3 linked regions of the Coturnix japonica genome follow. The protein of the gene in region 1 purifies or fractionates together with the protein of each later gene. This does not show direct contact. Links are inferred from orthologs where the notes say so. Each region holds a gene or a part of one and is shown in the gene's direction. Other genes may lie near its edges.

Region 1 (3,657 bases):
TGGATTGAGAAACTGACTGTGTTGTCACAATGTGGTGTGAAACTTTATACAGTCATAAGGAAAAAGATCTTTTTAGCTGATAGCTGTAAAACAAAAATAGCTGTTAGCTGTAAAACAAAAATAATTGCATCTGCTCGTTTTGCATCAGTGTTATAAATGTAGATTTCTGGATTCTTGGGAACATTCAGATAGAATTAAGAGTCGTGTAGCGAAAATGTTCAGTGAGAACATTGTCTGTACTGTGTTTCCAATAAAAAGAGCAAATGTGTGTTTTATGAGCTTACCAAAGTTTTATATGCAGGGTTTTCAGTGTGATTAGTTCAAAGGAAATCAGAGTCATGTTTACAGAGTCCTGCTTTCACCTTAAACACAGCAGGGTGTTTTGTGTGTTTTGCTTGCCTTAGAAAAAGCACCATTTGAGAATATATATATATATATATTTATCATATTTGTTGCATTTTCTGATCATGGTGGAAATGTAAATATTTCCTACAGTTTTTCTCCAGACTTGCCTTTCCATTCTCTCTAGTGAAGGTATTTTGACTGAATTGGCACTTGTAATACCAAGTGCTTCAGATACTTTCAATTTTAAAATTTCCTATACCAGTTATGTGGTTAATATGTATCTGTGCTGTGGATTCATTTGTTTGCTAAAGAGAGCATTGATGCAGGTTAGCTGCCTTTGGAGTAAATACAAGTTTTGTGATAATAATTGTCTAAGACCTTAACTGCCCCCTCGCTGTTATAAACACTGTGCATTTCAGAGCATTGGAGAACTGCTAAGGTTTGACCAAATGCTGAGATGGTTCCAAATATGCAAACAGTAATAACCTGTTTTTATATGCAAAGAAAATATTCTGCTAACTGTTTTATGCATTTCAGAGACAGCACCAGGCAGCTTGTGTAATTCAGGCAATGTGGAAGGGATTTCAGACAAGAAAAAGACTGAAAAAACTTCCTCAAGCAGTGGCAGCTTTGCAGAGGAGCTTCAGGTAAACAGCACTGCTTTGTTAAAAGTGCTAGAGAATGGTGTGATAGGACTTGTTTGTGTTTAGTTTGGTGTTTCTCACGTCACAGAATTTCAAGAAAAATTAGGTCATATAAATCACTGCTAAATGCAGGGCCAACAGGATCTGGCTGCTCAGGGCTGTATGCAGTGATGGAGATCTCCAAGGATGCAGACCCTCCATCTCACTCAGTCCCTGTCTTGGGGCTGCGTGATTCACATTCCATTAGAATTCTTCCATTAGATTTAGCAGGAATGTTCCTTGTTGCAGCTCTTTTCCACTAACTCTTGTCCTTTTTCAGTGCACCTGGAAGAATGTGGCTGGATTTTCTCTACAGATGATAGCAAAAGACAGAGATTAGATTCCCTGAACTTATACCATATGCTCTGTACCATTATCTCTTCAGTTAGTCAATGTCTGTCTGGGGTGACCCAGTAAAGTCTGGGCAGTATTACAGGTGTGCCCTCCAGAGTGCTTGAGTAAAGCTGTGTAAATAATTTTCTTTGACCCGTTGTCTTTGCTTTTGCAAGTGCAGCATACTATGCAGCTAGGCTTTGTTACTGCAAGGACACACTGCTGGCTTGTGTTCAGTTTGTAATCCACCACGATCCCCAGGTTCTTTTCAGTGGAGCTGCTGTCCAGGTAATCAGGGCCCAACCTGTATGATTCATGAGGTTATTCAGTCCCAAGTGCAGGACGTCCCATTTGAATTTAATGTGGTTTGTACTGACCCATTTTCTGTGTCTGTGGAGTTTCCTTTGAGTGCCAGCCCTGCCCTGCAGTGCATGGGAGACTGATGACAGCCCTGCTAAAGTTCAAGTAAATGACACCCGGTGCTCTCTCCTCATCCACAGAGCCAGTCATCACAGAAGACCATCAAGCTGGTCACACATAATTTGTCTGTGATAAACCTTACATGGCTGTTCCTATTTGCTTCCTGTGCTTGGAAATGTGTAGCTTTCCTAAGAGTTTGTTCCTGTGTCCCAGGGAATGTTCTTGGGATAACCCAGAGATCCTTCATCTGAAAGATGCCTTTTTCCTGTCAGCTGTATTTTCTCAAACACAGAAGTAATGTAATGCCAATATGAGCTGTTTCATTGCAGATTCTTTTAGCAAAAACATCCAAACAATGTGCTTTTCCAGCAGTACCAAATTGCCATTTCTGGTGCCAAAAGCTCCAACTGTCCCTTTCCCAGCTGCCAAAATTCTTCTCCATGAAAAAAAAGCCCTTAGTTCTGTGATGCCTCTGTGTAAAAATGTATAGCATATGGAAAACTGGAAGTGTGGGACTGTAGCATTGGATTGCACTAAACAGCATTAGAGGATGATGTACTGGTGGCAGAACAGTTAACTGCTTCACAGTTAACTCTTCAAATATTCCACCATAAAGTAAATACGTCCTGAAGTTCTGATAGGATCAGGTGGAGCAGGATAAAGCAGAAAGGAGAGGGTGGCCAGGCTGCAGGCAATCAGCCAGCTGCTTTACTTTCTTGTGTCATGTTCTCAGTATTACAAGCATTAGCACATGCATCTTAAATAAGCAGTTCTTGAATCACTCAAGCTGAGTTTTAAATGTGCTTGTTTAACACTGAGAAGAATAGAAATGTATTAATATTTTTAGTCATATGATCATGGTCCAGTCAGTCCCAGTGTACTGAGTACGATACAGTGACCATGCAGCTCCAGCAGTGGGTTTTTTTCTTTCTGGGTTAAAACTGCACTTACAGTTTTGCCAAAAAATCAAAATAATCTTTGGAATATTGTGAGCGTTATTTTAGAGAAGTTTTTAAGTGGCCTTTTGGCTTTTTAATAGTCAGGGTTTGGTTATACTCTTGGATTTATTTTAGAACAAATGTGGTTCTGTACTGTTGAGGCTGAAACTCCAAATGTGGCTCACCTGCAGCTGCAATGGAAGTTCTTAAACTCTACAAGTTACAGACTTCTGAAACTCTGTGGTTTCACAAATGTCTCGTCGGTGATATTAAAGCTTGCAGTCTTTCCATAAAGTTAGTTCACTTTTATGTAACTAACTGTAGAACTGTTAAAGCGGCAATAATTTGCATTAATCATTTATCACGTGAGTGTGTGAGAATGCAGATGTACATGTGGGCTATCAGGAGGTGGTTAATCCATGCTATGAAGAAAGCTTGGATCTTTGTGTGTGTTGTACTTTTGTTAGCGTGGTCTTGTACAAACAAATGTGGTTTATTATAGGGAGAAATGGAGAAGGAAGAAGAATGTGTGTTTTACAGACTACTTGGGAAGTAAACATTTACATAGTTGCCTAACACTATTGTCAGATTCACAGATGCATATCTGAGATGCTCATAAAACATTTTTGTTGTTTTCCACATAGTGGAGCTCATAAAAGTTTCTAGTATTGATAGTTTTATTAGGGAAATGTCATCAAAAGTCCTGCTTCACCCTGTGACATCATTCAGCTTAGAAGTTCTGTATGTGCCTTCTTGGATTAAAAATGCAAAAGTTTGGAGCTCTCATTTACACAAATGTGTGGGCTGAAAAACTTGAGCCCATTCTGTTGTTATTGTATATATCGTGATTTGTCTCTGTAGGTGGATGTGTGGGCACACTTAGAGTCTGCATTACTGTCATAAGAGGATTATGGTCTCTTAGATCATGGTGTTTATCA
Region 2 (3,212 bases), on another chromosome or scaffold:
AATGTTTTGGTGACTGTCAAAAGGAACTTTGATAAATGCATTGTAAGTTCTTTAGTTTTTCTGTTTAAGATAACTCTATTACTTTAGGAAGCCTGCACCTATTCAATTTGATTTTAGGATTTTAAGACTTTTTGTTTTAATTTGAAGCAAAAATGAGTGTCTGCACTACAGTTACATTGGACAAACTTTTTTTATTAAAAAATATTTATTAAAAAATAGTAATTGGCAGTTGTTTCCCTCTTCCCTTTCCATCCCAGTTTACCTGAAGGATGAGCTATCCATAGGACGTACAACCTCTTGTCCTCAACATTTCAGTTATGTGAGCTGGCTGACTTTTGTAATTGTTTTAAACTTTTACTGAAGTCAATCAAGTAAAATCAATAGTGCTCTGACTTTTTTTTTTTTTTTTTTTTTACATTCCAAAACAATCCAAAACAACCTCACAGACTTAAGGGAAAATCAGAATCTTTGTAATATACTGAATAGACATTTATTCCTTGCATTCAGGTATTTTTATCATTAAACAAAACGCAGATTTTTGTGAAACATTAAGACTTCTCTCCTACTACCAACATATTTGCCAGTTTCTGCCACGGAGAAAGTTTGCTATTCTTAATAAGGCAGCCTTAGTACAAATACTTGTTTGTGTGACTGTTGCTTTTGCTATTATTGTTGTAAGTGTCATTTGACTCCAGGCCACTTTGGTAACACTGATCATTCATTGTCAGAGGAATGCTTGAGATACTTGGAAGTTATTATTTTTTAGCTTATTCTTAAAAACAAAATTTCAACAGGAGATTAAAGAAGCTTTCTGTGGCCAAATGAATCATTTGCTGGGTTGATGCTGAAAAGTGAAGTTGTGGAATGGAAGTCTTAAATATAATTTGTTAATTGCTTCTGGTGAATAAGTTGTGGATTCATTGTTTGTGGTATTTTTTTTTCTTAATGCTAAATAAGCAAGCAGAGGAAGATAAAAACTTGAAGATTATAAACTTCAGTCTTGAAGATTTTACTTGCCTTTCTTTCTTCACAGTTTTTACTGTTAACAAATTTGTGAAGATACAATAATTAAAAGATAAAATGATCTCCCTGATTAGACGCATGTTACTTTTTCAGTATGTTTACTTTTTTTCTATTACTAGTTATGGTTATTACTAGTTATGGTCTGGAACTGTATTGTAGAGAATAACTTCTGTGTTTCAATTCAAGAGCAATCAAATGAAGCAGATGGATGAAGTAAAAATCTCAAAGAAAAGTAAAGTCGGGATCCTTCCATTTGTTGCTGAATTTGAAGAGTTTGCAGCCCTTGCTGAATCAATTTTCAAAAATGCAGAACGACGAGGAGATCTGGACAAAGCATATATAAAACTTATTAGAGCTGTTTTTATCAGCGGTAGGTCTTCCCATTTCGTAATACTTATTAATTCCTCCTGTGTAGGTGTATTCTGCTCTGTTTAATTGATAATGTTTTTTTTTTTAAGACTCTATATTGTAAACCACATGACCAACATTGCACTGATGTTAAAAAAAAAACAACCTAATTTATAGAAGCAAGTTGAAACATTTTGATAAAATGAAATATTTAAAAGCAAACTGTAGATATTTCCCTTAACACATATATACAAAGTAACTTTCGGTTATGACAGGGGAAGTGGTTAAGGATACAGGAAGGAGGGGGGAGAGAACTGCAACACTACAGGCCAAAGTCTCAAGTGGTTTTCTGGCTTTTCTGCACCAGTCTGGCTTAAATGAGGAGATGAGACAGGATGGAATCCCTGTCATTTCATTCTAATGCTGTACAGCTTCTCAGTGCTGTGTTGTCTCATTCAGTTCTAATGTAGCCTTGTGTTCTGGCTATGAATTTGACCATATCATAGCAGATGAGGTCCTCCTGACATAGTAGAATGCCTCTCCCATCCCTTCCTGTTTTTCCAGCTCTGATCTGGAAAACCAGAACAGTCTTGTTCTCCTTGTTATTAACAAAAAAGAAATAGATGAAGGTGAAGTAAAAGAAGTGAAATGCCAGAAAAATGGTCATAACCTTTTAAACAACAGAGAGGCCTCTCCATGTTGATTTATGTACATCCTTTGAAACAGCTCGACCTGTAGTACTTCCCAATCACTGAGACTTGCCTTTTTCCCTGAGGGAGGTTGAGGAAGAGGGAAGAGTTCTGGCAATAAAGCTTGTTTGAGGAAACTAGCACAGGAGTTCTGAACATTAGGAGGTTGTGAAGATGCATCATTTCACAATATAGTGGACTACAGTTCATAAAGAGTCAGTAGAAGTTAGTAGGGCAGTGAATTTTAACAACATTGATTGCGTCCAACTATTCAGTACTTTAGAATTGATTGTTCAAGTGATGAAACCAGGCAGACGCTAACAGTCAAACCATACATTGATAGAAGTACTACTGTAGGAAGAATTCAGGAAAGTACGTTTTAAAAGAAATTTAAAAGGATTTCAGTTGAACTTAGAAAAAAAAATAATTGACTAGTACAGCATGAGCTTCAACAAGTAATTATGATGGGGATTGGTGCTTCAGTGATCTAACTGAAATGAATTGATGATATTGACTCGTACCTTGGTGCCCAGGAGTATGCTTCATAAATATTTTTCATGGTGGTTTTCCTACTTCATAGTCTCAATGAAATGATGGATGAGCGGGCATAGAGGTTTAATTGCATTCTTAGATTAATTCTGCATTAATCTGCATTCTAACCATCGTCTCCTTGGCCTGCATGCATGCAGATGCAGTAGGGGGTCAATAAGTAGAATTTCTTACACCTGCTCTGTTTTACTTGGGAGGGTTAAAAGTAAAAGCCTGCATGTATCTGATGCTTCTTTTGAAAGCCCTCGAATATTTATTTAGTGACTGTTATGATTATCGTTCATACACATGGTTATCACTGTGATAGAATCCCTTACTTTTTTCTTTTCATCAGTTATGTTTTCTTCCGAATTTGGTTGCCCTTTAGGAGTTCTAAATATTTTGTTTCCCTTATCTTTTAGTTGAAAAAGTAGCTAATGAAAGCCAGAAAACACCCAGAGATGTGGTGATGATGGAGAATTTCCATCATATTTTTGCAACACTTTCTCGGTTGAAAATTTCTTGTCTTGAAGCTGAGAAAAAAGAAGCCAAACTGAAATACACCGAACATCTTCAGTCTTATGTAGTCTACTCACTTGGACAGCCTCTTGAAAAATTAAATGT
Region 3 (3,657 bases), on another chromosome or scaffold:
TGATCTCTTTTTCCTGGATTCACATTCCAAAACAAAATGTTTTGTTGTTTTTTTTTGTTTTTTTTTTTCCAGCATCTGGGGCTTCCTTGTTTACATTTTACTTTCATTCTCATTATTCAAGAAGAACTCATCCAGTTATTTTTCTTTTAAAGATTTTTAATTAAATTTCCTGAAGATTTGCCAGCTGAAAGAAGACAGAGTAAACACTGAAAGTAGTTATTAGTTTCTCTAACCATAGTTGCAGATACACCCATTTAAGATCGATAATAACATTTTATCCTGATCCGATTTTTTTAAGATGTAATAGGGTAATACTTTTTAGATAGCTGTGCCTTCAGCTTAAGAAGCAATATAGAATCATAGAATGGATTGGGTTGGAAGGGACCTCAAGGATCATCAAATTCCATCCCTCTTACCACAGTCAGGGTTGCCAACTGCTAGATAATTACAAGACCAGCCTGCCCAGGGCCCCACCCAACCTGGCCTTAAACACTCCCAGGGATGGGCAGTGTGTTCCAGCACCTTATCACTCACTCAGTAAATCATTTCCCCAGCATCTAATCTGATGTACATTTAGGTAAAGTTTCTATAACAAGGATAAAGAAAGACTCCTTCAAGGTGTAAATAATTTTCATTGTTGAATCAGCCTACGTATTCTGTAATGTAAATATTTTTGAATATAGGAGATGACAATACCATGGACAAGGCAACAAAAGCAATTACCAACAGTGACATTTCATCAATTTCTAAGAAAATTGCCATGTTGGAAATTAAGGAACTAAATGAAAGACAGAGAGCAGAACATTCCCAAAGTATGTATGAACATTTAAGGAATACTTTAAAGCAAGTAGAAGAACGCAATTTTGAACTGGAAACAAAGTTTGCTGAGGTAAGATTTAACACATGATTTAACACATTAGAAACATCCTTGAGTTTTTTGTAAAGTATTTGTCAGTTATGTGTCATTATGACTGACAAATGTATGATGCAAAATATAGATGCCTTTTATGAGTTGTAAATTTGTATGACTGGGCATGTGTTTAAAAAAAATATGACTGTTTATTTCAAATAACATTTGTTCTCCATAAAGCACATGATGAGTAACTTGACATAGTTTTCTAGTTCATCAGCAGATTCCTAGGAAGAAGCCTGTTATTTCAATTGTTAGACCTTTGTAAGAGAGTGTCATGATTCTTTTGCAGGCTGTGTTCTTATGTCACATACCAAGATTACAATTTTCTGTAATACAGGAATAGAAGGCATGAGCTGTTGAACTGATGATCTTTGTAATTATTCTTCGTATCAGTTTTAATCTTGGTGGATTTTTGTCCCCAGTATTTGTATTTGAAATTTGTTTTATAAATTCACTATTTAATAGGAGAGTTTATTCAGTTTTTTAAATTCTAGTTTTTCTGATATTTTTAGAGCCTCTTTTGACAGAATAATTTCTTCTATTTCATTAATAGCTCAGGCATTATTTTGGGTAATTAATGAAATTTGAGCAATCACTTTGAGAATAGGAAATCTTCACATTCTAAACTCATAAATCTATTTCAGTGTAAGTTTGTTTTCTTACCCTTTTCACAGTTCCCATAAGAACCTCTGAGTAGTTTGATATTTTTTCAGAGTACTGCCTCAAATATATGAAATCCAGACAATAAGATACACCTAACGGTTTTGTTTGTTTAGGAAATTAACTATTTTCTTAATTATAGAATCACCAAGGATGGAAGAGATCTCCATGATCACCTAGTCCAACTGTCCACCTACCACCAGTATTTTCCCACTAAACCATGTCCCTCGGTACAACATCTAAACATTTCTTGAACACTTCCAGGGATGGTGGTTCAACTACCTCCCTGGGCAGCCTGTTCCAGTGCTTGACCACTCTTTCAGAGAGAAATTTTTTGTAATATCCAACTTGAACCTCCCCTTGGTGCAACTTGAGGCCAATCCCTCTCGTCTTATTGCTAGTTATGCTGGAGAAGAAGCAGATCACCACCATGCCACAATTTCCTTTCAGGTAGTTGTAGAGAGTGATAAGGTCTCCGCTGAGCCTCCTCCTCTCCAGACAGAATAGTCCCAGTTCCATCAGCCTCTCTTTTTAAGACTTGTGCTTATTATTTTGTTAATGAGTTGTATCAAATTCATCTGTCATAACTTTATTTGGTAAATTAATTCCTAAGGCTCTGTATGTCTCATAATGCTTTTCATGTGTCCCATCTTTTCCTAATGCTCTTTGATGTGATGCACTGTTTACTCAATATGTAACAATCAGGTTGCTTGATAAAGGTGTTTTTAAAAAAGAACAAAACAAGTATGGTATTAGGAATCTGCGCCATATACTAAATATATAAGTAAAGCAGTTCATTTCTTAAAGAGTTTACAGTTTTACTATTTTTTTCTTTTTTTAGTTTAAAAGCAAGATCTTTGCTGGAATGATTTTATGAAAATTAACTAGCTAATAGGGTTTAATTTAGAAATCTGTTCCATGCTGATCTGTATATCTCTTCCTAAATGCATGCAGTGCTGTGAACAAAAATATGTTTAAGTGGGGAGAAAATAAGTACTTTTTAATTACGGCTGAACAGCGTTTTGTAATGACTTCAAAAGAAGTTACTTCGGGCACTTTGTCTTCTTTGCAGGTTTGGGATCAGTTGTGTGCTTACAATATCATTCTCTTTTCTGATCCTTTTTTAAGCTCACCAAAATCAATCTCGAGGCACAAAAAGTGGAACAGGAATTAAGAGATGAACTGTCAAAAAGTGTAAGTAAGGCAGTGAGCGATGCAGACAGACAACAAATCATGGACCTAGAGAAGCGTGAGATGGAGCTCAAGACTGAAGTATCAAAGTAAGTGATGACGTAACAAATTCATAATGAAGTAGGAATACTTGCATGTAACACTTCAAGTGTTTGATTTTTTTTGACATTTCTGTACGCTAAATTTAGAGTAGAAATTAAGTATTTAATTCAGTTTTTTGTTTCATTGTGATTTGAACAAGGAATTAAATGCTGGCCTGGTCAGATAATCATAAGCATGTCCTAAAATATTCATTTCTAGCCTTTTAAAAAAAAAAAAAATGAAAGTTTTCTTCTGTTTCTATACCACAACCACCCCTAACAAATAATGTAATCCTGTTATATTCCTAAATATAGCTATGGATGTGTGCAGTGATTTTGGTGCTGAAAATGGGGCATTAGACCTGGGGAAGCAGAGAATAGAACAGAGAATGAATTCTGTTGCACATTTATGTCTTGAGCTGGGAGAGAGATAGAGAAGGAGAGAGGTACTTACTTCTAGGAAAAAGCATGACTTTGTTTTCCTTGAGAAGATAAGTGGTAGAAAACTTACAAGAAAAATCCACCATAAAAGGTGAGAAGCAATAGAAAATACTTTTTCTAACAAGACTGCTGAGCAGTAGAGTGCTAAAAATGAAAAAAAAACAACAAATTCTTCAAATTTTTTTTATGAGGGGACAAAATAAGCATCTTCTCATGTTCTGTGTAGGAAAACCTAACAAGTTATTAGGTGGTTTGAAACAACACAATGCTCTTGCTTTTCCTGTAAGGTTGAGAGAACTGTCTGACATTGCAAAAATGCAAGTTGAAGCTCTAGAGGCACGCCAGCAATGCAGAGAGAAAGAAGTGGAATCT

What was found.
Region 2: the proteins of IQCB1 (region 1) and EXOC1 purify together in Homo sapiens (affinity purification with mass spectrometry; 3 studies listed by BioGRID and IntAct, counting the BioPlex papers as one, with this or other methods). This does not show direct contact. The link is inferred for Coturnix japonica from reciprocal best matches to the Homo sapiens genes IQCB1 and EXOC1.
Region 3: the proteins of IQCB1 (region 1) and CEP290 purify together in Homo sapiens (co-immunoprecipitation; 8 studies listed by BioGRID and IntAct, counting the BioPlex papers as one, with this or other methods). This does not show direct contact. The link is inferred for Coturnix japonica from reciprocal best matches to the Homo sapiens genes IQCB1 and CEP290.

Annotation. Positions count from the first base shown.
Region 1 is NC_029522.1:20,672,158-20,675,814, forward strand, and holds part of IQCB1 (IQ calmodulin-binding motif-containing protein 1), read left to right. Parts: intron 1-882; coding exon 883-992; intron 993-3,657. UniProt on the Homo sapiens protein: Involved in ciliogenesis. The function in an early step in cilia formation depends on its association with CEP290/NPHP6.
Region 2 is NC_029519.1:58,587,609-58,590,820, reverse strand, and holds part of EXOC1 (exocyst complex component 1), read left to right. Parts: coding exon 1-42; intron 43-1,209; coding exon 1,210-1,393; intron 1,394-3,010; coding exon 3,011-3,210; intron 3,211-3,212.
Region 3 is NC_029516.1:38,944,794-38,948,450, reverse strand, and holds part of CEP290 (centrosomal protein of 290 kDa), read left to right. Parts: intron 1-683; coding exon 684-889; intron 890-2,701; coding exon 2,702-2,853; intron 2,854-3,572; coding exon 3,573-3,657. UniProt on the Homo sapiens protein: Involved in early and late steps in cilia formation. Its association with CCP110 is required for inhibition of primary cilia formation by CCP110.